Caenorhabditis elegans: one gene and its partner. The protein of the gene in region 2 purifies or fractionates together with the protein of the main gene of each other region. This does not show direct contact. Each region holds a gene or a part of one and is shown on either strand. Other genes may lie near its edges. The genes, in order: K09F6.10 and C54G4.2.

Region 1 (11,819 bases), on a different chromosome or scaffold from region 2:
AATCCTCTCCTCCTCGTCCTTTTTGGCTTTTGCCTCCAGTTCCCGAACCTTGTTGATGATTACGTCTCTTTCGATTAATGGTTCGGCCGACGATTTTGGTCGCTTTACCTGCTCATTTTCCAAAATCAATGGCGCACCACGCTTCATTCGAGGCTTTTGAACACCGTTTAGTGAATTTACCACGTGAGAAAGGTTGTCATACTGTGCCGCAGGAAAGGTGACATTGATTGGTTCTCTATTTTTGAAATGAATCCAATAGTTGAGAGGTCGACCAACGTTTACAAACGAATATGGGTAAATAATATCTGTTACCGCTACAGAGTATTCGTCTTTTTCCAAATGCAAAACTTGCGGCAGACGCGTAACATAACGAGAAGATGTATTTTCAAATTGAGCATTTTTGACGGAAGACGGTAGAGTTACATAAAAATCGTTCATGACTAGAGCTCACAAGTTACTTGATGTCTATTTATAGCTATATAAAGAACTGAAAACTGCTTTCAATCAAAAATGTTTTTGATTTTACCACTTCTACCACTACTACCACTAGCATCAAGTGTCTCTGTTTTCACAAAGACGGTTCCCTCCAGACTATTAGATGGTGATTTGTCAAATTTACCATTTGAAACAAATTTATTTGTAAACTTTTGCGGATACAATAAGAATGGCGAACCAAACTTGAGATGGTTTTATAAAATGGAAGATTCAATAATTGATGATGGACTACGTGTTCAGGTTGCCAACGACAAATGCAAATTTGAAATTATTGGTTCGGACGATATGCTAATGCAGTGTGACGGTAGACTTTTTCGCGTACGGGGTAAAACAGTTACACGGTTTTATGACTATGCAGAACTCTTTGCATTCGATCATGTTCAAAAGCAATTTTATGTTTATCTACACGGGGGCATACGCCATGTTAGGCCTGGAAATTCCACCATCACACTAAAATCGATTTCAAATGTTCGCGATTTTAACGTTGTTGACGGAGTTTTCACCGTTTTATTTCAAAATGGTACAATAAAATACAACAACAAGGTGCTGGCACAGGTGGATCCAAAGTCTTATTCGAGATTACCAATTTATGCTGCTCCAGATTACGTGGCTACTCCTAAACTTGATAAGGAAGATTATTCTAATATAATTTCGCTAATATTTTTCATAATTGGATCAATAACCGTCTTGGTGTTGGAACAATGCGGGCGTCAGTCTGCTCGAGTATATCGTCGGAAATCGCAAGTTTCAATACCACTCGAAGAAGAACAGCCGCATTGCTCACTATAAATATACTGACATTTTCAATATCACCACACCACACCATGTCCATGTCCATGTCTCGATCAAACGGTTCGTCACCACGACTAGGATTTCAATTTCGTTTTCCATCTCAGACTACAATCATTGGCGCCACACAATCTGGTAAAACTACACTATTGAGAAAAATTTTGGAAAATTGTTCAGAGACGTTTGAAAAGCCAATTGACAATATATTTTGGTTTTATGGCGTAGATACACCCACTCGGCAATTCGTATCGTACATTCCTCGCATTTTCCTCGTACATTTAGAAGGAAGTCCGGAATGTACGACAAAACTGTAAGTGTAAAAAGGAGACACGACCAATATACGAGGAACATACGACAAGATTAGGAGAAAAACAAAATGTAATGTTGCCGCGCTCATATCTCGTCGCGCATTCATCGCACATTGTGGCTCGCTGTTCTTGCACGTCGTACATTCCTCGTATGTTTCCAAAGTACCACTGTTGAGAATTGAACTTGCCTGTTTACTGTCCTAGTTGGTTTCTAAATCAAACTTCTTACCTGTTGATCCATGACGGTCGCGAGATACGAAGTTTATAATTGGTTATTTAAAGAGGATGCGCTCAGCTGGTGAGAGTTTCAGTTCAATCAGATATTATTGTCTGTTTGATTTGAAAATGTTGAAGTGTTTCTTGAAGCAGAATATTTATGAAACTTAGTAGAATTATTCACAAGTATTAGGTTGGCAGGAAAGTTCTGTCCTATTTTTCAATCATTTATTTCTTGAAGCAAACTCAAACAAAAATCAGTTACATGCTGCATCATGATCAACAATGTACTTCCAACGTTGAGATTACTTGTGGATTCCCTGCCCTAAAATCCAGCGGGCAGGATTTCAAAGTATTGCATTAGTGCCACTTTGAGATTTTTTTCTAATTGTGAAGGTTCTACTTTGAAGTACACGAGTCACATCAGAGAAAAGCCAATAATCACTAGAAGCAATGTCAGGAGAATTTGGTTGCTGATAGAATCATCCATCCATATTTTGCCAGCTCCTGCTTCACTTGTTTTTCAACATGTGGTTGGGCGTTATTATGTTGGGAATATACTTTCTTATCCCTCAAGGCTGAACGATCGACTGCTTTATTCAAATTCTGTAGTTGTCTTGAGTGGGGTTCTCCGGTAATAATCTCCCCCTCACAAGTCAGGATGGTAACAGCTCCCAGTTGAGGGGACATCCACTTGCCGATCAAACAGAGAGAATACTTTTTTTCGGGTGAAGATCGGGTTTCGGGACATCCTGTGGGGCTTCTCCTTCTCCAATCCACAGGGCTTGCCTACCGCCGTGGAGAGTGAGAAGGCTTTATGAAACACCAGTTCGGCGGTCAAGGATGGAACGGGTCAAATAATGAGCTACTAATCGAGCAATTTCAAGCCATCTGCAAAGGAGACTATGATGAACCCCAAACGTGCTTGCAAGCTCACTTGTAGTTTTAAATGGATCCGATTCAACACTGGCATTTAGTGCAATCAAATGTAGCTCACACGGTCTTTCAGGGCATTTCTTTTCATTCAAAGAAAAGTCGCTACTTCCGAAACGATCGAACCATCTTTGTATGATTTTATACGATGGAGAAAAATAAACTTTCATCAAAAGAGTCTTGAATCCTTCATTATGGTGTTGATTACTGCAGACTTTTTTCCTGCTTATCAATCTCTAGGAGTGAATAAACACCGAAATTGATCTGCAGCCCACAATGACAAAACAAATAGGGCAAAACTTTCTTGTCAACCTAATATTAGCAAGTATAATTTATCCTATTTCATTCTGTCGAGAAAATAGTTGAAAAAGTTGAAAAATGGTGGAAAATATCCAGTAAAACGAGCTGCAGAGACCTCAATATACGCACGTTTCAAGCCTTTGTCGTACATTCCTCGTAGGTTCCAGAGGATATACGAGGAATGTACGACTAGCGCCCACTATTTGGCTTGAGAGGCGCAACATGCGAGGAATTTACGAGGAAAATGCGAGGAATTTACGATACGAATTGCCGAGCAGTATACCAAGACACTTGCACAACTTTCATGCAATCGAAGGATTACCAGACGTTGATCTTTTAAAGCAACACAAACATCAGAATAACATTCTAGTCTGTGACGATTTGATGAACTTTTTTGCACGAGATAAAAAATCCCTCCATCTGCTCAACGACTTGTTTTGTCTTTATGCTCATCATCTCAATTGTGCAATTTTCAATTTGGTCCAGTCTGCGTTTACACTCCCGCCAATAACCCGAAACAACAGTACCTACATTATTTTGATGCGAAACTTGTCGGACGCCTCTCAAATCAAACACCTACTAATGCAGCAATTTGGAGACGTATGGAGAGGAGCCTTCGAAGCATACCAGGATGTAATGTCGAAACCATATCAGGCGCTATTAATTAACAACGACCCATTATCTCTTCCTACTATGCGTATTTTATCAAACTTTACAAACGAGTATCCTACAGCCAATGTCCCTATATAAATGATTTATAAATTGTATTTGATCTTTTGCTAACAAATGGCTGCCCATTTAATTGTTCACACTGATTTCTTGCATTCTGTTTTGAAACGTAATCGTATTGCTATTCGAGATGCTTCGAGCAAAGAAATAAATATTCTAGTTGAAATTGTGTACAACATGCTTAATTCTAAAAATATTCCGTTAAATCTAGCAGAATATCAAATTTTGCAGCCGATACACGATCAACTAACTACCATTTCACGTACCAATGATGTCAACAATGCGAGGAAATTACTATTTAAGCTTTCAAAAAAGCAATTGGCTACGCTTGTTATTCCTTCACTTATTGCAACAAATCTCTGGAAATGAAGTTGATTCGCAAATATCACATGATACCCTACGAGAATGGGTCTGCATATGAATCTGCCAAGCGTTTTTTATCCGCATCAGATGTTGATCCAACTACAAAGTGCCGTTTTTACCAAGATGTATTATACCGCATCCGAAACCACCCTGAACTACCAATTGTCACTGACGAATTATTTGATGTTGTTCAAGAAAATTTACAACAACAGAATGACAATCAAAAGAGAAATGTGAAGCTAGAGAGACGTAATTTAAAATATGAAGCCATTCCTGAAAAGAGAGAATCATATCAAGAAAAAGATTATAGGAATCCTCCTGTTTATAAAGCGGAAAATGAACAATTGTTTGATGACGTGCCGAACCACAATGATGGAATAAATCATTTAAAGCCCCTCAAAAACGTTTACATCAAAGAAGAGCCCGAGGATGAGGATTATCATATGGAATACGAAAAAATTCCAAAAATAAATATGGAGCAAAATAATGTAAATGAACTTTTTACGGAACCACAAAAAAATACGCCTGGAAAAATGAAAACGTCCAAAAATGAAAAGAAAGACGGAACTCTCAGTAGACCTAAAAAGAAGAGCGTGGTGAAAGTAGAAGCAAAAACAGAATCCGATCAAGAGATTGAAGAACCCGATGAAGATATGCAAGCTGCTCCACCGAGGAAACCAGAGGAAAAAACTGAGGAAATCACACCAGTTTCAATTAAAAAACGATCGTTTCAGCAAGACGCCACAAAGAATCTAAACAAGAGACAAAAGTTTGATCTCAAGAGAGGAAAGAGCATGAATAACGTGAAACCAAGAAAACTTTATAAAATGCAGCTGGAAGAGGATGAGGAAGATGAAGAGCCGATGGTTGATGAGACGCCACAAAACACTGAGATTTCCATTAAAAAGAGACCAGTTCAACAGGATTCCACAAAAAACTTAAACAAGAGGCAGAAATTTGATTTGAAAAGAAGAAAGAATATGAGTAGAGTGAGGCCTCCATTTTTTTTGTTTTTCCAAATTTCGAAGTGTCCTGGCGACCGTAGGTGCGGCGTGTGAGCATTCGTGAGGACCGTTTATTCTTTGACGACAGATTTTACAAAAAGCGTTGTCGTGGCATTTGTGTACAGTTTTGGAATATGAATCTTTACGATGTATGAATCCACATTTTTTGCATTTTTCATATCGTTCGCAAAATGACAAGGATAGTTTAGACGGCTTTACTAAATGAGATTCATAACATGATTCACTTTGAAACACAATGTTGCATTTTTCACAAATCTTGCCTACTCCATTCTTCTCGCAATTGGTGACACCACATCTCCGACATTTGGCCCCGCATGTTTGGTAATGTCGGCGACCAGAGTATTGATTACATTTGAAACAAAATCCGGTATTGACGTAATCAATCCTCGGTACAAAAAAATCAAAGTGGTTGTCGACATACAGAAGTGGAATGAATCCTTTTGCACCTTTATTTGCTTCAAAAATTTTCGCCGTAGCCTTTGAACCGCTTTTCAGCCCCCACACACAAATGTTATGCAGATGGTCTGCAATTTTCTGTAAATCATCGAATCCATGTTCTTCGCGGTCGCAATCCAGCCCAACAGATGTTGCCAAACTCTTTGCAAGTTGTAGTTGTTTTCCTTTTCGGTGATCCAGACATTTCTGAAAGTAAAAATATAGATGAATCATTTAAAAATTAAAAAAACTTACGTCTTGTCTCGTCAGGTTTCTAAAATCCTTTGCTTCTTGTCCTTTTGTTTTTGTCGATTTCGAATCATACCAAAGTTTACCAATGACTATTGCCTTCAAAAGACAATGAGTGAATCCAACAACGTTTGGGTATTTTGACCCGAATAACATTAGCCTATCTTTAGAAATTTCTACTGATCCCTTTCCGCGAACTGATTCGTCCTTTGTGAACACTCTCATTGTTAACGTGAATGTTCCATCGTCAACGCATAGTCCCTTCTTTGACTGCATTTGTTCGGCAATTATATTCATCAGAGTATATCCGTCGGCCATCTCGTATGTCTGGTGCATTATCCAAAATCCATCATCTTCCTCGTAAGCTTCATGTTTCAGATTCAACCAATATTCCGTAGTTTCTAGATTACCACCAGCCTTTTGAATCATTGAACGAATGAAAATATCAAACAGCTTTCCAATGTTTTTGTCAAGAGTTTTGTTTCTAGGTAGATTTTCAAGGTTCCGGAAGCTGAATCGCGTTGGTTTGGTTTTGACAGATTCTTTAGATGCACGTTTCAAATCCACACAATCTTCAAATTTTGTGAATTTTCAAAATGCCGTAGTTCCTTGTCCGTTGGAAAAGTCTTGGATGCTGAAAAAAATATATTAAAAACTTTTACAATTAAAAAAACTCACGTTTTGTTTTTACATCCTTACCGTCGCTTTTCGTTGCCATCCTGAATACTTTTTAGATGTGTGAACTTTCGCTTGGGTTTTTACAACCAGTGTGTGGTTGCTCGCAAAAATGATCAACTTTCTTCACTGTGCTTGGGTATTTATACCACTAGGAAAGTGGTTAGGGGCGTGTTTTTGAATGGAAAACCTATAGTACCGCTGGGACCACACCATCTGTCTCCAATTGTTGCGAAATAGTCTCATTGCGAAATTTGTTTGAAGCTCATTCTATGACCATGAAAATCTTGCTAGAAGCTCCTCCCTTTTTTCTAAATCTCACGTCATTTGCGTTTTTGAAACGTTCTCTCGGTCGGGGACACTTGTTTTATGTCTTCATTTTCAAATTTCACTTATCCGGAAATCTAAACTGGTTAGGGGCGTATTTTTGAATGGAAAACCTATGGTTCCGCTGGGAATATAGATTTTTGTATATTTCTAAAAGATTTTTGTATAAGATTACGACACATCGGATCCTACTCCCAAATTCTGTAAATCCTTGTTGCAACCAATCTGTATATTTCTAAAGATTTTTGTATAAGATTACGACATCGGCTCCTACTCCCAAATGCTATGTTAACCAATTTGCATGAAACATGTAGATTTCTAAAGATTTCGACATCGGCTCCTCTTTGACAGCTGTCATGCGTCGTGCACGTTTTCGCGCATGTCTTCCGAATCACTGCCATCTGCTCGATAGAGGGGCGGGTGGTTTCTAGAGTATAAATGGAGCTTCTTTTCGGATTTTCTTTTACTGATACAATTTCACAAGTCTCCTTCCCTTTTGAATGATCGCCTTTGCCCACTGGGACCTGTCACCAATTGTTGCGAAATAGTCTCATTGCGAAATAGTTTCATTGCGAAATTTGTTGAAGCTCATTCTATGACCATGAAAATCTTGCTAGAAGCTCCGCCCTTTTTTCCAAATCTCACGTCATTTGCGTTTTGAAACGTTATCTCGGTCGGTGACACTTGTTTCATGTCTTCATTTTCAAATTTCACTTATCCGGACCCTAGTCCCGGAAATGTGTTTTGGAACTTTAACGATAATCCCCAACTCCTTTCACCCCAAAATTTACAATTTTCACCGTTAGAAAATGTTCCCAATGATCATATTCCTGATATTCATATTCCTATCGATCCCGAACCAGTGTGTGTAAAGAAGAAAAAGAAAAACGTACCAGCAAAAACGAATACGACCAAATCTGGAAAGCCGCTTGAGAAAAAAGGTAATTTTTAAAAAGTTTTTTTCAATTACTATGAATAATTATTTTTAATTTCAGATCCTGAGTTTGCTTTCCGGAAAATGGAACCACTCGTCGCAATAATATTTTGTAAGACTTGTCAGGACGGTGCACAATATGATGGATCAACTTTGAAAATTGACGTTTGTAAGAAATGCCGTAAAAAATATTGGAAATTATAAAATTTGATTGTTGTTGTCTTATTAATTTAATCAACTGAATAAATATTTACAAAAAAAAGTCTTGTTTGAAGAAACCTGCTATTTGAAGTTTTCGAAAACGAAAACTTCAAATAGCACAGGTAACATTAATTGAAGTAACGTTCAAATGTTCAACTTAAACTCTTGAAACCCCCAGGGGCGGGGCGTGGGGGGCCTCCTTCCTATGATTCATCAATCTAGGTAACACTTGCATTCATGCAAATCGTCTCTTGTTGCTTTGGGAAAAGATGCCATCTGTTCATGTAAATCGTGTCCTGGGTTCGAATCCGGTCCGGGGAAAAACAAAAATTATGAAATAAAAAGTTATGAAATAATGTTATGAAATTAATAATAATCATTTGAATTATTACAGAAACCCAATTTCGAAAATAGTTTCGAAAAAAGCTCTGTCTGACTTTCTCTAAATCTCTCGAAAACGCACGCTATTTCAAAAATCGACAATCAAATCACAAAAATCCTGGTTAAAAAACTGTCCCCTGGTTGAGAGGACCAAGAACACCCCAAAAAATCGATAGTTTCTTACTATAACCAAGTCTCTCACTCTCTCGTCTTTCTCTGAATCTCTCGATTCACACACTATTCGTGACCGTCTGCGGTCAAAAATCCTCGGGGTGGTGAAAAAGCCACTCTATCACTACTTTCGGGTTATTGTTGCCACTGGAATATCAATTGGTTTGATGCATACATTAATATCCTGTGATTCGATTGTATAATATTCTGAAATCTAGTAATTTATTCTTAGCTTCAAATGCAATAATAGCTACCTTCATCACAACAATCTTTTGTTTTGTTTAGCAAATCCTCTGCTGCTGTTATACATGCTATTGCGTTGTTCCTTTTCTTTGCCTCAGTTGCTTTACGAACATATTCAGTTAACTTTTGGTGAGATCTTAACAGCGGAGGTAATGCACTATCATTTTCATCCAAAATTGACTTTGCCACTTCCTTTAATTTGACGAGTGCCTCCTTTTCACGTTCATTAACCATTTCACGAATTCTGGAGTAAAAAGTAGTTATCTGAAAAAATGTAATACACATTTCAATCGCGTTTTCATAAACACCTAACCTCATTTGCTTTTTGTTGGTAATTATTTCCACCTTCGCGAAACGCAATTTGTGACATCCTGAGCTTTCGAACATCTTGATCAATCTCGCCTATTGTCTTATTCAAGCGATTTATCCTCCCCTGAAGCAATTCGCGTGATTTTTCCATTTCCGCAATCAACGATTTTTTCGTATGATGCAAATGAGATAGAGTCGATACACATTTGCGGCACATGTATTTTCCCGATTCGGAACAATCCTCTTCCTTCAAATAACTAACACTTTAAGCTCGTAAGGATCAATGAGAAAGTTCTTTGAAAAGCAATTTAAAATTTAATTTCCACAAGTGAGTGGAAAAAAAAAAATTTAATAAAGTGACCTACCACGCATACGGTTTCCACCAAGTAATCAGGGTGATGTTTGCACTTTTCCAACATTGGCTCCTCTACTTCCTGAAAAAGTCCAATGTGCTTGAATCAATGAAAAAACTTATTATCTTTATTTACTGTTATCTTAGTGGTTTTTGCGAATAGTTGAATCGCTTGAATCAATGCAAAGTTCTTGTGCAAACTTTCCATCTTGTTTCCCGGCATATCGGTTGGCTCGCGACAAAATGGGCATACAATTTTGCTATTACCTAACATTTTTTTGATGCAACCTTCACATAACGTGTGTGAACACTCTGAAATTTTAACTTTACAAAGACCACGCAAAAAATCACTCACTTAGATTTCGCGGAGAGTGATCTCCATCTTCGCTTGAATAGTCGTCATTACAGATTTCACATTTTGGCATTGACATTTTCAGTTTTGAATTGGTGTGGTTAAGAATGGTGACAGTTACCACTGAAAAACCATTAAATATGCAATTTCTTCCTCATTCTTAGATATAAATGTCATATTTATGAGGCAGTCCTGTTTCAATGCACCTTTCAAGTAATACTCTAAGAAATTGCTCAAAATCTATTGAGATGAATAGCAAACCTCCTGAACTCACGGGATCATTCATATAATTTTGCGAAAAATTTTGATCTACACTTTATCACGCCCTAGTTCAATTCAAAAAATTATGTGGCTTTAATTAAAAATGAGAAGTATTAGGAATTGTTGGTTTTTTGACATTCTTGCTAAGGACGAGCGGGCTGACATAAAACTCTGTCAACAGCTTGACTTTATGGAGCTTGCCAGAAATGTGACCTTCTCTCTGTTTTCTCTTCATTTACATAAATTATTTGATTTTGGACTTTGATTTTGAATGTTTGGAAAAAAGATCAACCAAAACTGCTTGAAAGTTTTGATTTCACCAAAAAGCGCTCGAAAAAATAGAAAAAAAAACGATTGAAGTTGAAATCGATAAAGTTATTTCTCACTGTTAGATAACAATGTAGCGAGCAAACTCTCGTTTTAGATGAAACTAAAACGACAGGAATTCTTATCGCACAGTTTCAACCTAAACTAATTTTTCGATGATTATTTGCAAATGTTGAATTTCCATGCTCAAATTTGATAGTTGGTAGGTTTGCAATCAGATCCTTTGAGTCAGATGGCGAATGCTCTGAAAATGTTTCACGAAATGAATAAAAAATAATGTACACTCAAAAGACACACTAACTTCCAATATCTGAACTATAGCACCATTCCGGAATTTCCAGTTCAATACCAGCTCCATACAAAACACCATCGTTCATATCTATACAGTGCGTGCAACTTCTATAGCGCCCCCTATTTTATCGCGTTTCACGCCATTCTGATTTTTTTCTTGAAAAACTGACAATGCCATTCGATTTCAAATGTCAAAAAACCCCTTGTCCAAAATTTTCAAGAAAAAATAACAAAATTTGATGTGACTAGGTCAAAAAATCGTAAAAACGGCCGTGCAACTTCTATAGCGCCCCTTCTGAATTTTGATATTTTTTCCAACAAAACCACATTTTTTGACATTTCTAGACACAGCAAGATAACAAAACGGAGTCAATTTGATTCAGATATCATAGTGATCAATTCTCGGCAGAAATATTATACGTGGAGATTCTTAGGATCCCGCAATTGTCCTGAAACGCTCCATTTTGCGTCAGAGGCCCATTCTCGGTGGGATCGAGTCCAAAACTGACCAAGATGTTTTGAGACACTCATGGATACATGTTTGAAAGATTTTTTACAAATCGACGGAGTTTTAGGTTGTATGAAACTTGTACCAGATTGCACTATTTGTCCTTCTTTGTCCAGAAGTGGAATTAAATCAATTAAAACATCATAATTTGTTAACTGGATGAAGGATCAATACGTCGTGGGACCTCCCTTCTTAACGATAACCTCAAAAAACCTATTCGACATTGAGTTGACCAGATTCTTTATTTTGCTGGCTGGTATTTCTCTCCAAGCATCCTCAATACCAAGTTTCAGTGCAGCCACATTTGGATATTGTTTTCCATGACTAGCGGGCCCTGCGGGCCCGCCAGTTGTAGGGGTGTAGGGCGAGTCCCCTAACCGGGCGTAGGTTCTCGGCTTCGCCTCGAACCTGTTAGAGGGTTCGTGAAAATTTCAGTAGGTCAATGGGAGTCTTCTTGATTTTTGAGTTCGGTTTGACCAAAAACAGATGCACCCGATGAATCAGTTAAAGCTGAGTTTTGATTGATTGAAGTTTGAGGAGGCTTTATATTAGGGGAGACGTACCCATATTTTGTATAAAATCGAGTATTTCTATTTGAATCCCGACTACTCACAAAAAACAAAAAAAAAATTGGCACTTGGTAGA
Region 2 (12,503 bases):
ATGAAAAATGCAGATGGGCGAGAAAGGGTCGAATTTACATTTGCATGTGTATTTGGACTGCCAACTTAAAGTTTATGCATTCTACGTAATCAAGTTTCAGAAATTAATGGGATTATGATTAGAAAATGACATTTGCAATTATAGAGATCAATTTAATATGAATGAATTAACTGAAAGTGCAAAAATTCTGCAAAAACTAGAGTGAAATTAGTAATTCATCTGGAAGGAAAAAAACGATAGTTATTTTGTTGAAATTAGATTTTAGGATGAAAAATAAATTTTTTGTTCAAATGAGAGATGAAGAATTGATCCAAACGTGTTGCTGAAAATAGAACATTTAAAATTTGTCGAACCTGATATTTAGGGTGTGCGGAAAATCTACAAAATTGCTGATTTCTCTGCAATAAGCAAACTTATGAAAGCAAAAGCAATTTGAAAAATTCGAAAACTCTCTGGAAATAATCCTAAATTTTGTTTGAAATAGAGCCCAACTACCGAAACTTGCCAAAACTTTGACCCATTTTTTCAGCAGTGACTAACTTTCAGTCTTTAGATACTTTTAAAAAAATTCAATCAAAACAAGAATTGTGTTCAAATTGACTAAATATTATTCTACATTATATTAATTTTTTATCTAAAACAACCATATCGAAAAGAGAACATTTGCCGTACAACCCTCTTTTTGAAGAGACACTATCAAAGATCAGAGACCATTTTAGATAACACTAATTAAGTTCAAACGGAATTTTACATGGGAAAGAATCACAAATATTTTATAAGAATCAAAAAAAAAAGAACATTTTTAATAATTTTTTGATATAGCCTATGCAATGTGTTGTTTGTGTGTGTGTGGTGTGTGTCGTCGTCGGTTTTTCCCCGCTTCAATGGCATTGAAGAGAGAAACGAAAAGAAAAAGAATAGTGAGAGATTAATGGTTTATAGTAGAGACTCAGACACATTTTTTGGAGAAATGAAATATAAAGATTAGAGAAATGAGTGAAAAAGCAGGATCAGTAATTACGATTGAGCACAAAAAAGGATTTTGAAAAATCAAGTGTTTGGGAAATGTGATTATTATGGCAGAACAAGAACAAAATAATAATAATATTATTCATGAATTATAGACCAAGGTCACAACAAATCATGAATCATACAAGTTCCTACAAGCTTCTGATTTTGGAAAATATATGCCCGCAAACTAGAAAACTACTATTTGAAAATTTGTATCTATCAAAAAAAAAGAAAAAGAAAAATACACAATTAATTTTGAAAAGGGACAAAAATTCCGATTCAAAAATAGCGAACCTATTGCAAAAATTTCTGATTGAATTTAAAAAAAAATTAGCAGTTTGAAGGGAAAAACAAGAAAATAGCTGCATGAATACGTCATGCAACAAATCTCATGAAAATCGGAGCAAATGAAATTAACAAAACCGAGGATGATCTCAATCCTAAGTCAGTTAATACGTTCGTGTTTTTTTTTAGATTCTTGAACCGCATTATTTAATTTTAATTTCACGTTACTGATTTTTATGCAAATAAAATATGAACACAATACAACACAAGGTTCACATGAGTTAAAAGTTCGGGCGCGAGTTGGGCGAGTGAAGAGGCGAGGAGAAGCGCCCCCAGTCTCGGCGTATCAAAACGACTCACAATATCTTTTTAAAAAACAAACAAATTCCTTAATTACATAATGTAAAGTTTTGAGAGTTCAAATTTCCTAGCTCTCCAAAAATCTCCAGAAAAAGTAATTTCAAAAAGTGAATGATTGTAAAAGTACATTTCTGGAACAAAAGGCTTGATGAGAAAGGTGGCCAAACATAGCACATCGTCATCATTTTTCTTCGTCTCATCAACACTTGACGACCAAATGGGCGCCCTTTGGCAACAGGTTTCATCTTTTTTCAACACACCGTTCTTTTTATCTATATTTCTCTCTCCCCCCCCTCTCTCTCTCTCTCTTTCTCGCACATTTTTGTAAATTTAGAAAAGAGAGAGAGAAAATGTCATTTGACAAACACAAAGTTTACCCAGCGCTCTGGTTATATAAAATAGTTGTCTTTTCGTCTAGGCACACTAGAAAATAATCGGAAGAGGGAAAAACGTTTCAATCGTTTGTTTAACACTTCTATACACAGATCACTCAGTGGGAATGACACTAATTTTGGAATTTGAAATTAATTTGAAGATTGACAGTTTTTTATTGAAAATTTAAAAAAAATCATATGGTTTAGAAATTAGAAATTCTGACAAATTCTGACAAATTAATTTGAAAAAAATCCACTAATTTCAAGACCTGTAGAATTGCATTGAACCTGTCCTTGAAAAATATGTGTTCTCGGCCAACTTTTTTGAAAAATTTCTCCTGAACATTGTTCACATAATATCTACATACTTTATAGTCAGTGAAAAATGTACTGAAAAAAGGTTGGAGGTTTACTAAAACATGAATTTCCAAATCAATGCAATACCCACACTCCGAAAAAATGTGTTAGAAAAAAAAATGCAGGGATCGAAAATTCGAAATATTCCTGTCTTTTGCGACGTCGCGCCTATCAGTTGCTGATAAGCGGGTAAAATTGAAAAAAGAGGAGAGAAAATGTACACATGTTTACCAATGCAACAACTTTCGAGGTCAATGAAGGAAATATTAAACCGATCAATGTCATAAAAATAGGAAATAATAGGGAACGCCAAAATTAATCGATCCTAAAATAATGTTAGCAAGGTACACAAATTGACAGAAAAAAAAACAATTCAGAGGAATTTCAGATAACTGACTAGTTCTGAAACGTGCAATCTATTTCCCGAACAGTAAAGAGATTCGAAAGCCCAATTTATTCAGCTATATAAGTGGAGAGTTTTGAAAAGTTGCTCTAATAGTAAGACCGTCCCAAATATCAATATCCAAATCGAATTAAAATTAAAATTTTCATCGAAAAGTTCAAATATTTTTCTATATTGCTGTATAAATTTTTAAAGAAAAGCTTTGACACAACATGGAGAAACATGGAATTCTGTAAAGGTGCCGAAAAAATCTTCCTCACAAATCTGTTTGCTACCATATTCTGAACATGAAAAAAAATATCAAAACAGAATTAGATAGAAAGTAATGTTTTTCATATTTTATCACTTGAATTGGTAGTAAAATCAGTAGTTTCAGCAAAGTTACATAGTATTTTCTGAAATTATTGATTTTTGCTCATATGGAAAGTGAAACAATTTTGCTCGTTTGGAAAAAGTCATTGTAATGTCAACAAGCTTGAAATCTTAGTTCTTCCAGAGAAACTTTAAAATTTATTTAATCTAAAACAGTAATTGAAAAGTAGATTTATTGACATGTTAGCCCGTTTGTATTGAATTGAATAATACCAAGAAAATCATAAAGTGCTCTTTCGTTGTTGCTCCTCTTACGCATTCTCACGAGAAGCTTCGCGAGAAGCAGATTCTCGTGATCCTTCACGAGAAACAGGCTCCCGTGAGCCCTCTCGTGAACCTCTTCTTGCCTGATCCATCGCTGAGCGGAGACGTTTTTTGTACTTTTTACGGAACTTTTGAATCGAGAGCACCGGGCGACGTCTCTGGAAATTTAAGTTTGTTTTTCACACTATTTTGAGTATTTCAACGCAAAAATATCCAGGGTTCGCCCAAAGGCACATGGTGCATCGATTGAAAATACCTTTGGCAGCGTATCTGGATCGTCTTTAATGAAAAACTGACAACTATTCATTATTTGTTTCTCTATATTAGTTCAATTAAAAAATCAATGACATCTTCGTATAAAACACCTGCCGAAATAGTATACACAATGCGGTAAGCCTGAGCACTGTAAACCCTCAAACTCACATCATAGCTGATGCTAAACGTGCTTTCCATTTTGAACGTAATCGACGTCACCACACATGTCTTCTCATTTTCATTGCCGTTTTCTTTCGATGTCTTCAGAGCTTCTTCCTTCCTACGACGCTCCGCTGCTGTTGTCTGCTCCTGAGCGGCAAATCGGTCAATCGCTTCTAAAAGTAGGTTATTTGTAATAAGAAAGTCTAATCACACTCTCTCACCTTTACTCAAAGTCAACAAATTCGACATGGTGTAGTAATTCACCGAGTTCATTCTGAAGAACTTCTCAGATCGATCTTGCAGCGCAGCCATCGTGTCATATGGGTTGAGTTGGTCTCTGCTGAAAACATTTAACAATCCATTTATCCTTTTCCAGTACTTATCCAAAACCTACCTCTCCTCAATAATCCCATCATCCATTTTCCCTGTTGTATAATCCTCGACCAGCCCAATCCATTGCTTTCCATCCTCAATCTTCAGTCCGTCTTCAGCAACCGCCGCTAGTAGCTCAGGATATCTTGTCATGACTCCGTCCTCTGTCATTACTGGCTCTTTTCGATCGGGGACAATCCAGACTGGTTCACCATTCTCCTTGAAGATGTTTCGATCGAGTGGTCGATGTTTTCTGGATCGTCGCTTGATTATTTTCACAGAGTTCGCCACTTGGCATGACTCGGGCATCACTTCGAGGTTCTGAAAAAAATACAAACGACTTTCGCTACAGTAGTTTGGGTATATCAGCAATTCTCTTACTAAACGCTAAAAAGTTTGAATCTTGATGGTACTTTTTTGAATCTTGATGGTACTGTGTATTATACCCCCGCCATTTTAGAACTTAATTAAATTTCTATTAATTTACCACTTAAATTATACGTGATAACCGTTTTTTTCGTTAGGCTTAGGAACGATGTTTTCCTAACGCCTAAAAATACATAGAAAATTCACACGTTTTTATTTTATTAGTGGCGGGGGTATAATACACAAGTACCATCTTGATCTGAATAAGAGCACTAGTAGCTTAGCAGAACGGCACTTATAGTCGTACTATAGGAATATCCGGAAAGCTGATAGAAAACCAACAAACCAGGTAAGTTCTACAGTAGAATCTCTATACAGGTTTCCTGTTCACATGAACTTACATCATCTCTCTTCTTCAAACTAGGGTTCTTCATTGACTTTTGTGATTCCATCATCCGTTTAAAAAACTTTTGCGCCAGGATCATATGGAACTTCTTTTCACTTTTCTCCTTTTCTTCTTCCACATAAACCACTGGTCGTCTGCCATTTTTCATTTCTATATTTTCTGGCACTTTTTTGTCTTCTTCTGTTGAATTTTGTTTTTTGTGAAGGTGGCTAACAAACTTGGTATTTCCATTTGATGGTTCTCCTTCAGTATGGTCTCCGATACTGCTTATTAAGTCGCTTGTCTGAAATTTTTTGATTGATTGTGAGTTTATTGCTTTAAAAAATGGGTAGCAGCCAAAATTGAATGCAGATATCAGTATCAGGGGCATCATTGGTCCTGCTGCATCCACCGATGCTCTACTTTATCAGCTCTCGGTCATCTCAAATTTTATCAAAAATTTTTAAGTGGCAAAATGTTCAGTAAGTTCTTTTCTATAGTTTTGTAGTTGACTATTTATTGATATCTCCAAGCTAAAAAAAGATATAAGCTACTGGAAAGCTAAACTTGGTGCTTCGACTCCCTACTTTTCAGTTTACCTTCATAGTGGACTCAGTCGACGGTGTTATTGAAGCCGACTTTCGTTTTTTCTGATCTCTTTTTTTTTCTTCCTTTTCCGGAGACTTTGTCTTGCTCTTTGGTCGACGCTTCTTGGATTCGACGACTTTCTTTGGTTTCTGTTGAGCAGCAGCACCTGTCGATCGATTCCTTTCACAATTTGATCCGGATTCTTTTGATTTAAGGACCACTGTCTTTTTTTGATGCATTTTGATCAAATTGAATGTGAGGAATAAATGAGAATACTGATAATTAAAGTAATTAGTACAAGGACGTGAAAAAATTTTCAAAAATTTCGTTATTAAAAAAAGTGTGCATATTATAATTTTAAATAGCTCGTGAAGTGGAATTTATTTTCGGAGCACTTCTTCAAATTAAACTTTTTAAATTTAGCACGTTACTTTCAATTTATTGTGTTTTATAAATACCTATTTTTCCGTGAACTGTCTTTTATTCTTAGAATTGTTGATCCCCTTGTAGATCTGTTGGAACTTATCGGGAAAAAAATCAATAGAATATATTTATTCCCGATTATTCTCAAGTTGGTCGTCCCTGTCAGGAATTGATTGTTAAGATGGATGTCAAGCATGTAAGTTTTTAACTTTTTCGACTGTAATTATGGGTTTAAAAACAATCAACCTTTCAGAATTCCCAAAAAGAAATGATCGAACGTAGTCTGAATGCAACGGAAAAAGCGATCGAATCAATTCGTGAAGGTGAACTAGTTCGTCGTCATACTGATTTGGAACTTCGTGATATGCAAATATCAATGAATGAAGATTTCGATCGTATTCGTGGAATGATGCATGAGTTGGATGAACAAATTCACAAGGACCGCTCTGGAAATTCGAAGTGGATGAATCAGAAAATGGAGAAGGCTAAGGCTACTGCTGATCAAGCGGTAAGTCAAGAATTTTCCTGAGAAAGGTTTTTGAACACACAAGCTTCAGCATTTAATCATTCTCATTTTAGTTAGCCTCTACATTGATGGTCAAAGATGTCCAACTATTGGAAAAGAAGGTCAACATCCTAAAAGAATCAGTGGTTCAAGTGAATAAGTCATTTTATAAATATGAGAAGGACGTTGATATGAATGATTTAATGGATCAAGTTATTGATATGGTGCATCGTACGGAAAAGAAGGAACAAGATGCATTGGAGGCCCATGCAACTGATGAACAAGCTGTGAGTTGTGAACGATAGTAGCTCAGCTGGAAGTATAGATATAAAAAGTTATCAACTGACAATATATTCCAAATTTTACAGAAGCCATTTTGTTAGTTGATAACTTTTTGATAGCTCATCAAGATATACCAATTCAAATATCATTTGTCAGATTGGAAAAGCCTTCCGTGGAGCAATTGAGGGCCTCTATGGTCTGAAATCTTCCAATTCAAAGGTCATGGAAGAAGCTAAACTGTTGGCTGGAGAGATGCGTGTTTTTAGAGATGCTGCCTCTAACAAGGTGTGCTCATTAACTTCTTTCTACCTCAATAACCTGAATTATTCCAGAACTTCCACACAATGATCTCGAGAATTGCATCGAATACTGCTACATCTGGAGTTCCCTTGAAATACAGCAGCGGTCCTGAGAGCAGTTTTTCGACTTCTGCATACACTTCGTTTTCTAAATCCGCCAACAACTCTTCTATGTCTGGATCTAATTAATTGCTACTTGCCTTTGTCTTTTTGTATTGTATTGTGAGAAAATCAATAAATATTGATTGATTTTTTTCGTTTTTTTTGCAATTCCAGACAAGCGAAGATTTTGAACAGCTATAAACGTGCGCACCAGGGGTGTGCGGCAAATCTCAAAATTTGCCGAGCTCGGCAAATTCGGCAAATTTGCCGTGCTTAACAGACTCGGAAAAATTTGATATTTCTTGATGTTTTTTGGAGCACCAAAACTACCGAATTCTTAACACACATCTGGTTTCTGAATAAGTTCCGTGTAGTGTGTCTGCTTAAACATGAAAACAACTCAATTTTGTGTCATTTTACTAAATTTTTGGCGAAAAAATCAATAGTTTTAGTCAAAATTGTACTGTCAAATTTTTGACATGTGCGGCAAATTTCGAGATTTGCCGAGCTCGGCAAATTCGGCAAATCTACTTTTTTGAAATTTGCCGTGCTCGGCAAACGGCAAATTCGGCAAATTCGGCAAATTTGCCGCACACCCTGGTGCGCACTGCACTAGACTATTAATTTTCACTGAAAGTTTTGCTACTTCTCGAGCGAAAAATGCGTCTGAGGATATGTCAGCAAATTGTTGGAAAGCGAGCATCATAACTTTTAATCAAATGATTCCATATGCCTCATTTCTAAATATAAGGGTAAAATGGGAAAAAAAAACTTTTTCTTTTGAGGTTCGCATTTACATCTTGTGGCTAAGATCCCAACATTCAGAACATTTTTCTGTTTCATTGTTTCCGTCATCGAACTTTTCACACTTTTTGGTGTTTTTCCTCTTTTCATTATTATCCCTTCAATTCTCATTCTCCGAAGTTTCACCAATTTGTTAATCCGCATTTTTGTCGCCTCTTCGTTCTTCCGCACACTTCCGGACTGCCATCACCTGCGAGAAAGAGAGAGAGAGAGCTTGCTCGCTTCGAGCCATCAAAAAACGGCGTAAGTGATAGGTTGATTTATGCGCATAGAGCCTGTACAAAACGTGGGCAAAAGCTTGAGAACTATCCAATTTCTCATGTGCACTTGTCACTTTCAAGAGGTGCTCTGCAATGGAAAAAGCGCGCATACAAATATTATACAGTTCGAGTGAAAAAGAAGGAAAACATGGATCCAATTACCGCACTGACTGGACTACGGAGGTCTACTTGTATAACAAAAGGGAACAATTGGATCAATTTTTATTTGTATGCCGAGAGTTTTTCAACAATCTCAACTCAGTCGGAATGTTGTCGAAGAATTACAAAAAAAGGATCTCAAAGAACAAGTTGTGTATTTTTCAAAAACAGTCGACTTGTTTTGTTGGACGTTTTACAAAAAACAGGAATTACTATAAAATTGACACAAACCAAAAGTTGTCGTTTTATCCTTTGATGGATTTTCAGATCTCTGCCCAGAACAAACAAAAAACTGTGTCTATATATTATAAATTTGCTAACTTCCACTTCCAGAAATCCCAGATACTACAAAGACGAAAATCTAGCAAATTTTAATAAAAGAGTACGGTATCCAGTGACATCATTAAAAACATTCAAGCGAAAACAAGTGTGCGCTTTTAAGAAGTACAGTAGTTGTCTTGTGTGCATATTGTCGTGTCTCACTCAGTCAGTAGCACTGAAATTGTGAATTTCACATTTGTATCTTTTTTAAGTTTATTTTCAAGTGAGTTGTCGTTGGAGGCAACATTTGGTATTGGTGGAAACTGAAAACAACTCGGCAATTTAGCTTATGAAAAAGTTAGTTGCAGTTAAATAATGAGAATTCTCAAAATGTTGCAAAAAATTTGACAAGTTGTTCCGATACATACTTTGACAAGAATTTGTAACCTGTACGACGGAGTAAGTTGCCAAAGGTTGAAGTTGATCTCAAAATAGTAGTATACATCTAAATAAACTAATGCTCATCCCTTTCCCCTCTCAACACATTCCAAAGACATGCTCCCTGTAAAATCCGTTTTTTTTGCAAACACAGAACACTGGCTTAACAATCGGCAATGATCAGAGCAAAACAACGGCTTTCTCAGATCGTCGCGGCCATCCAAATTATCTCTGTTGCTCTTTCTCATTCCATCCAGACACATCTATTGTATTTACCCCCTCTCACCTGGAAGGGGGCTCAATCGCGCGGGCGCCCTCCTCGAGTCGTCCGCTCATCGCCGCCTCTCTCCCTCTCTCTGAGGGGCTCTCATTCTTGCTCCCTCACAGGAGCAAACTCTTCGGCCACCACCGTATGTAGATACATTCTCTTCGTTTTTCTTCTGCTCTCCTCCCGGTCATATCTCATACACAACACCCCTCCAATACGTACAAATACACAATATAACAACATACAGACACTTCTCTCTCTCTTCCCGACTATTCATTCCAAACATTTTTTGTTATTCATGGTCCTTTACCAGTTACTTTTTCTACTCTTTTTCCGTAGAGTAAATGGGCTCACTTTTCCACCAACATCTCCAATTTCCCATATATATTGTCTTCAACCATATGTACCCGAAAATGCTCATGTGATATTTAATGAGCCTGGACCGTACGCAACGGATACTGTTGCAAAATACAGGTAAAAATAGAATACTCCAGAAAAAATTTAATTTAAAAATTATCTTATGATTAATTGAAAGTGTTCCAAAAACATTACACCATTATCTTGTCAAATGAGGTTTTCCGTTTTTATTTTTCATTAAAAATTCAAAGGTTTCAGATAAAAATCGTCAAATTTTTGTTGTTGCAAAAAATCTTCAAACCCCGTTTTCGATGTTGGTGATCACCCAGTCGAGCTAGACGGGCGCCTCTCACCTGACTCTTCATTCGCCCAAAAATTACCTTTTTTACTTTTTTGGAGGCGCTTACCGAGCGTAAAGCAGGGATGAGGAATGTCCGATTTGTAGCCAACTAGATAAAAAACAATTAGAAACAGTTCAGATTAAAATTTCCAAATTATTACAAAAAAAGAGATAAATAGTTCCAGTTTCCAATTTTTCATTCGAAGTTTTTCAAATTCCCGTGCAAAATCTTAACTTTTCCTTTCCGGTATCGGTTTCAGTTTCAACCCCCCCCCCCCCCCCCCCCCAGTTCCTCATCAAAGTTTTCCTGTTTGCCGACCCGATTTGCGCGCATTTCTCACACGAGAACACGCGGCCGGGAGCCCAATTGTGCCAGTCACACATTCACCACAAAATTTAACCGTTTTTGACGTATGAAATGTGATTCCTCAATGTGTTCCAGTTTCTCATGAGAACTTCAAAATGTGATGGTGGCGGAGGTGGGGGAGGGAGAACATCAGATGAAACGTTCGAAAGATCACATTTTTATTGGCATAGACTAAAGTCTTGTAATGTATATAGGAAGACAAATATATTATTTAAATCTAAACAATCTACCGAAGTCTTAGCACTTTTAGTCTGTGGGAAACTTTCTCAAAATCATCATTGAGAGGCTTGAACCAAGATTGTTCTATTTTCCGGTGTTTTTCGAAGGAAAAAAAAACGATTTCTACAAAAATTAAAAAATTGAATTTTTCTTCCGAAAAATCAAAAAGGTTCCGTTTTTTTTTAATTTAAAATTTTTTAAATAAAATTATTAAAAAATCAAAGAAAAGTTAAAATGTTTCAATTATAATATATATTTTCAGTTGTGCCCTTGGATTCGATTTAATTGGTTCAGAAGAACGAACGTGCCTTTCCGATGGATCCTGGTCTGATGAGCCACCAATTTGTGCAATTGACGTTGCATACAATAAGCCTGTGACTCAATCATCCGGTAATGTGGCAATGTCGCTTGGTGGCACAATGTGCACAATGACTAATGATGAGTCAAAGTCATTTTGGTGAGTTATTTTCAAAGAAATTCCAGTTTTTGAGATTGTTAGGCTGAGAACTTCCAATTACTCGCCTGATATCTTGCAACTGTCGTATGCTAGTTCCCATCATTGGTGAATTTTTTCAGCCTTCGAGCTTGTCTGCTGAAATTAAGATAATTTTCATATAAATGTTTAGCCCCCGAAAAAAGTGCTGTAAACACTGTAGAATTTGGCCAAAGCCTGACTATTGGAAGCTGCGTTTTACGTATCACAAAAAATAAATATTGGCGGCAATTATAACTTAATTTTGAAAAGTACCAAGTAACCAATATGTGCAAACTACAATGTTTTTTATTCAATTATTTTTTTAGGGAAGTTGATCTACTTGGTGACTATTCCATACGATCAATCTCAATGAGATTGGGTACAAAATCATCACCAATTGTATCTGTGGAAGCGATCGAAACTGGTGGAGCTGTACATGTGAGATTTCCAGATACCTGCATGGCCTTAGATTTTTCTACAAAAAAATAATAAGAATTGGAACTATTTTTTGAAAAACGAGTTGAAAAACGTAGTAAAACTTGTTTAGTTAAACAGTAATCGTAAACTACGATTTCTTCTTAAGTTAGAAATTCTGATTGCTGCAAAGCATACATTTAAGGTTATGAAATTATATAATATCCATCATATTGTTTTTTATGTTCCTCTAGTTTGAGATTTCAATTATCTGAAATCCAAAATTTAAAATTACGTTAATTTTATTTTTAGAAAACCTTCTTTAAAAGACACTATTTTCAGCAATGCATAGTAGATTCTTCACTGTTCACAATAAATACGACAACTTCAATCAGTTGTTCATATGACAATATATCCCGTCTCCGAATCACCGCCACCCGCCGTTTACATCTTTGCCAAGTGAATGTATATGCAGTGAATGCCGGTAAGAAGAAAATAATCAAGTTGTTCCCATATTTTCAAGATGCCCGCCAAAAGTGCTCAAAACACGTGTTTTTATTATGTCTGCGTCTGTTCATTTTTAATGTTATTTCTCTTATGTGTTGTATGCCGTAATTGGCTCTTGCATTGTGAGTGTGTGAGGGAGGATGTTGTTTATTCGGGCATCGAGTGAGGGAGGTGGTTTGACACTGAACATGACAGATTATCGCACTTTTTTTTCTATTCTAAAGAAAGAATAATCATCGATTTCGAAGGAGAGATGTATTGTGTGAAATTGAATAGATTCGGGGATGCTTCTGCTTTGGAGTTAAAATTCATTTGTGACAGTATGAAAAACAGTGCTCAAGATTGATTTTTTGGATGAACGCAAACGGGCACTTGTCTATTTCACAGTGTCGGCCGAAAGTATTTAAATATTTGATTTCTTGATGATTTTAAAAATTTTCAAATAAGCAAAAAACATCTTTCTTTTTAA

Evidence for each region.
Region 1: the proteins of C54G4.2 (region 2) and K09F6.10 fractionate together in Caenorhabditis elegans (co-fractionation; one large-scale study listed by BioGRID). This does not show direct contact.

Annotation. Positions count from the first base shown.
Region 1 is NC_003280.10:2,282,262-2,294,080, forward strand, and holds K09F6.10 (DNA-directed DNA polymerase), read right to left. Parts: upstream 6,623-11,819; 5' UTR 6,521-6,622; intron 6,477-6,520; 5' UTR 6,272-6,476; coding exon 5,849-6,271; intron 5,801-5,848; coding exon 5,072-5,800; downstream 1-5,071. Other genes in the region: K09F6.9 (Major sperm protein), read right to left, coding at 1-438; K09F6.13 (Nuclear receptor domain-containing protein), read left to right, coding at 7,536-7,785, 7,840-7,982; K09F6.7 (RING-type domain-containing protein), read right to left, coding at 8,656-8,738, 8,786-9,038, 9,088-9,330, 9,449-9,517, 9,572-9,747, 9,791-9,866.
Region 2 is NC_003279.8:7,999,940-8,012,442, reverse strand, and holds C54G4.2 (Bromo domain-containing protein), read right to left. Parts: upstream 5,809-12,503; 5' UTR 5,794-5,808; coding exon 5,566-5,793; intron 5,271-5,565; coding exon 4,983-5,270; intron 4,537-4,982; coding exon 4,238-4,536; intron 4,184-4,237; coding exon 4,065-4,183; intron 4,017-4,064; coding exon 3,850-4,016; intron 3,585-3,849; coding exon 3,414-3,584; 3' UTR 3,327-3,413; downstream 1-3,326. Other genes in the region: C54G4.3 (Methyl-accepting chemotaxis protein), read left to right, coding at 6,159-6,173, 6,231-6,485, 6,557-6,769, 6,921-7,049, 7,097-7,252; C54G4.4 (Sushi, von Willebrand factor type A, EGF and pentraxin domain-containing protein 1), read left to right, coding at 9,264-9,829, 10,901-11,095, 11,440-11,551, 11,870-12,011.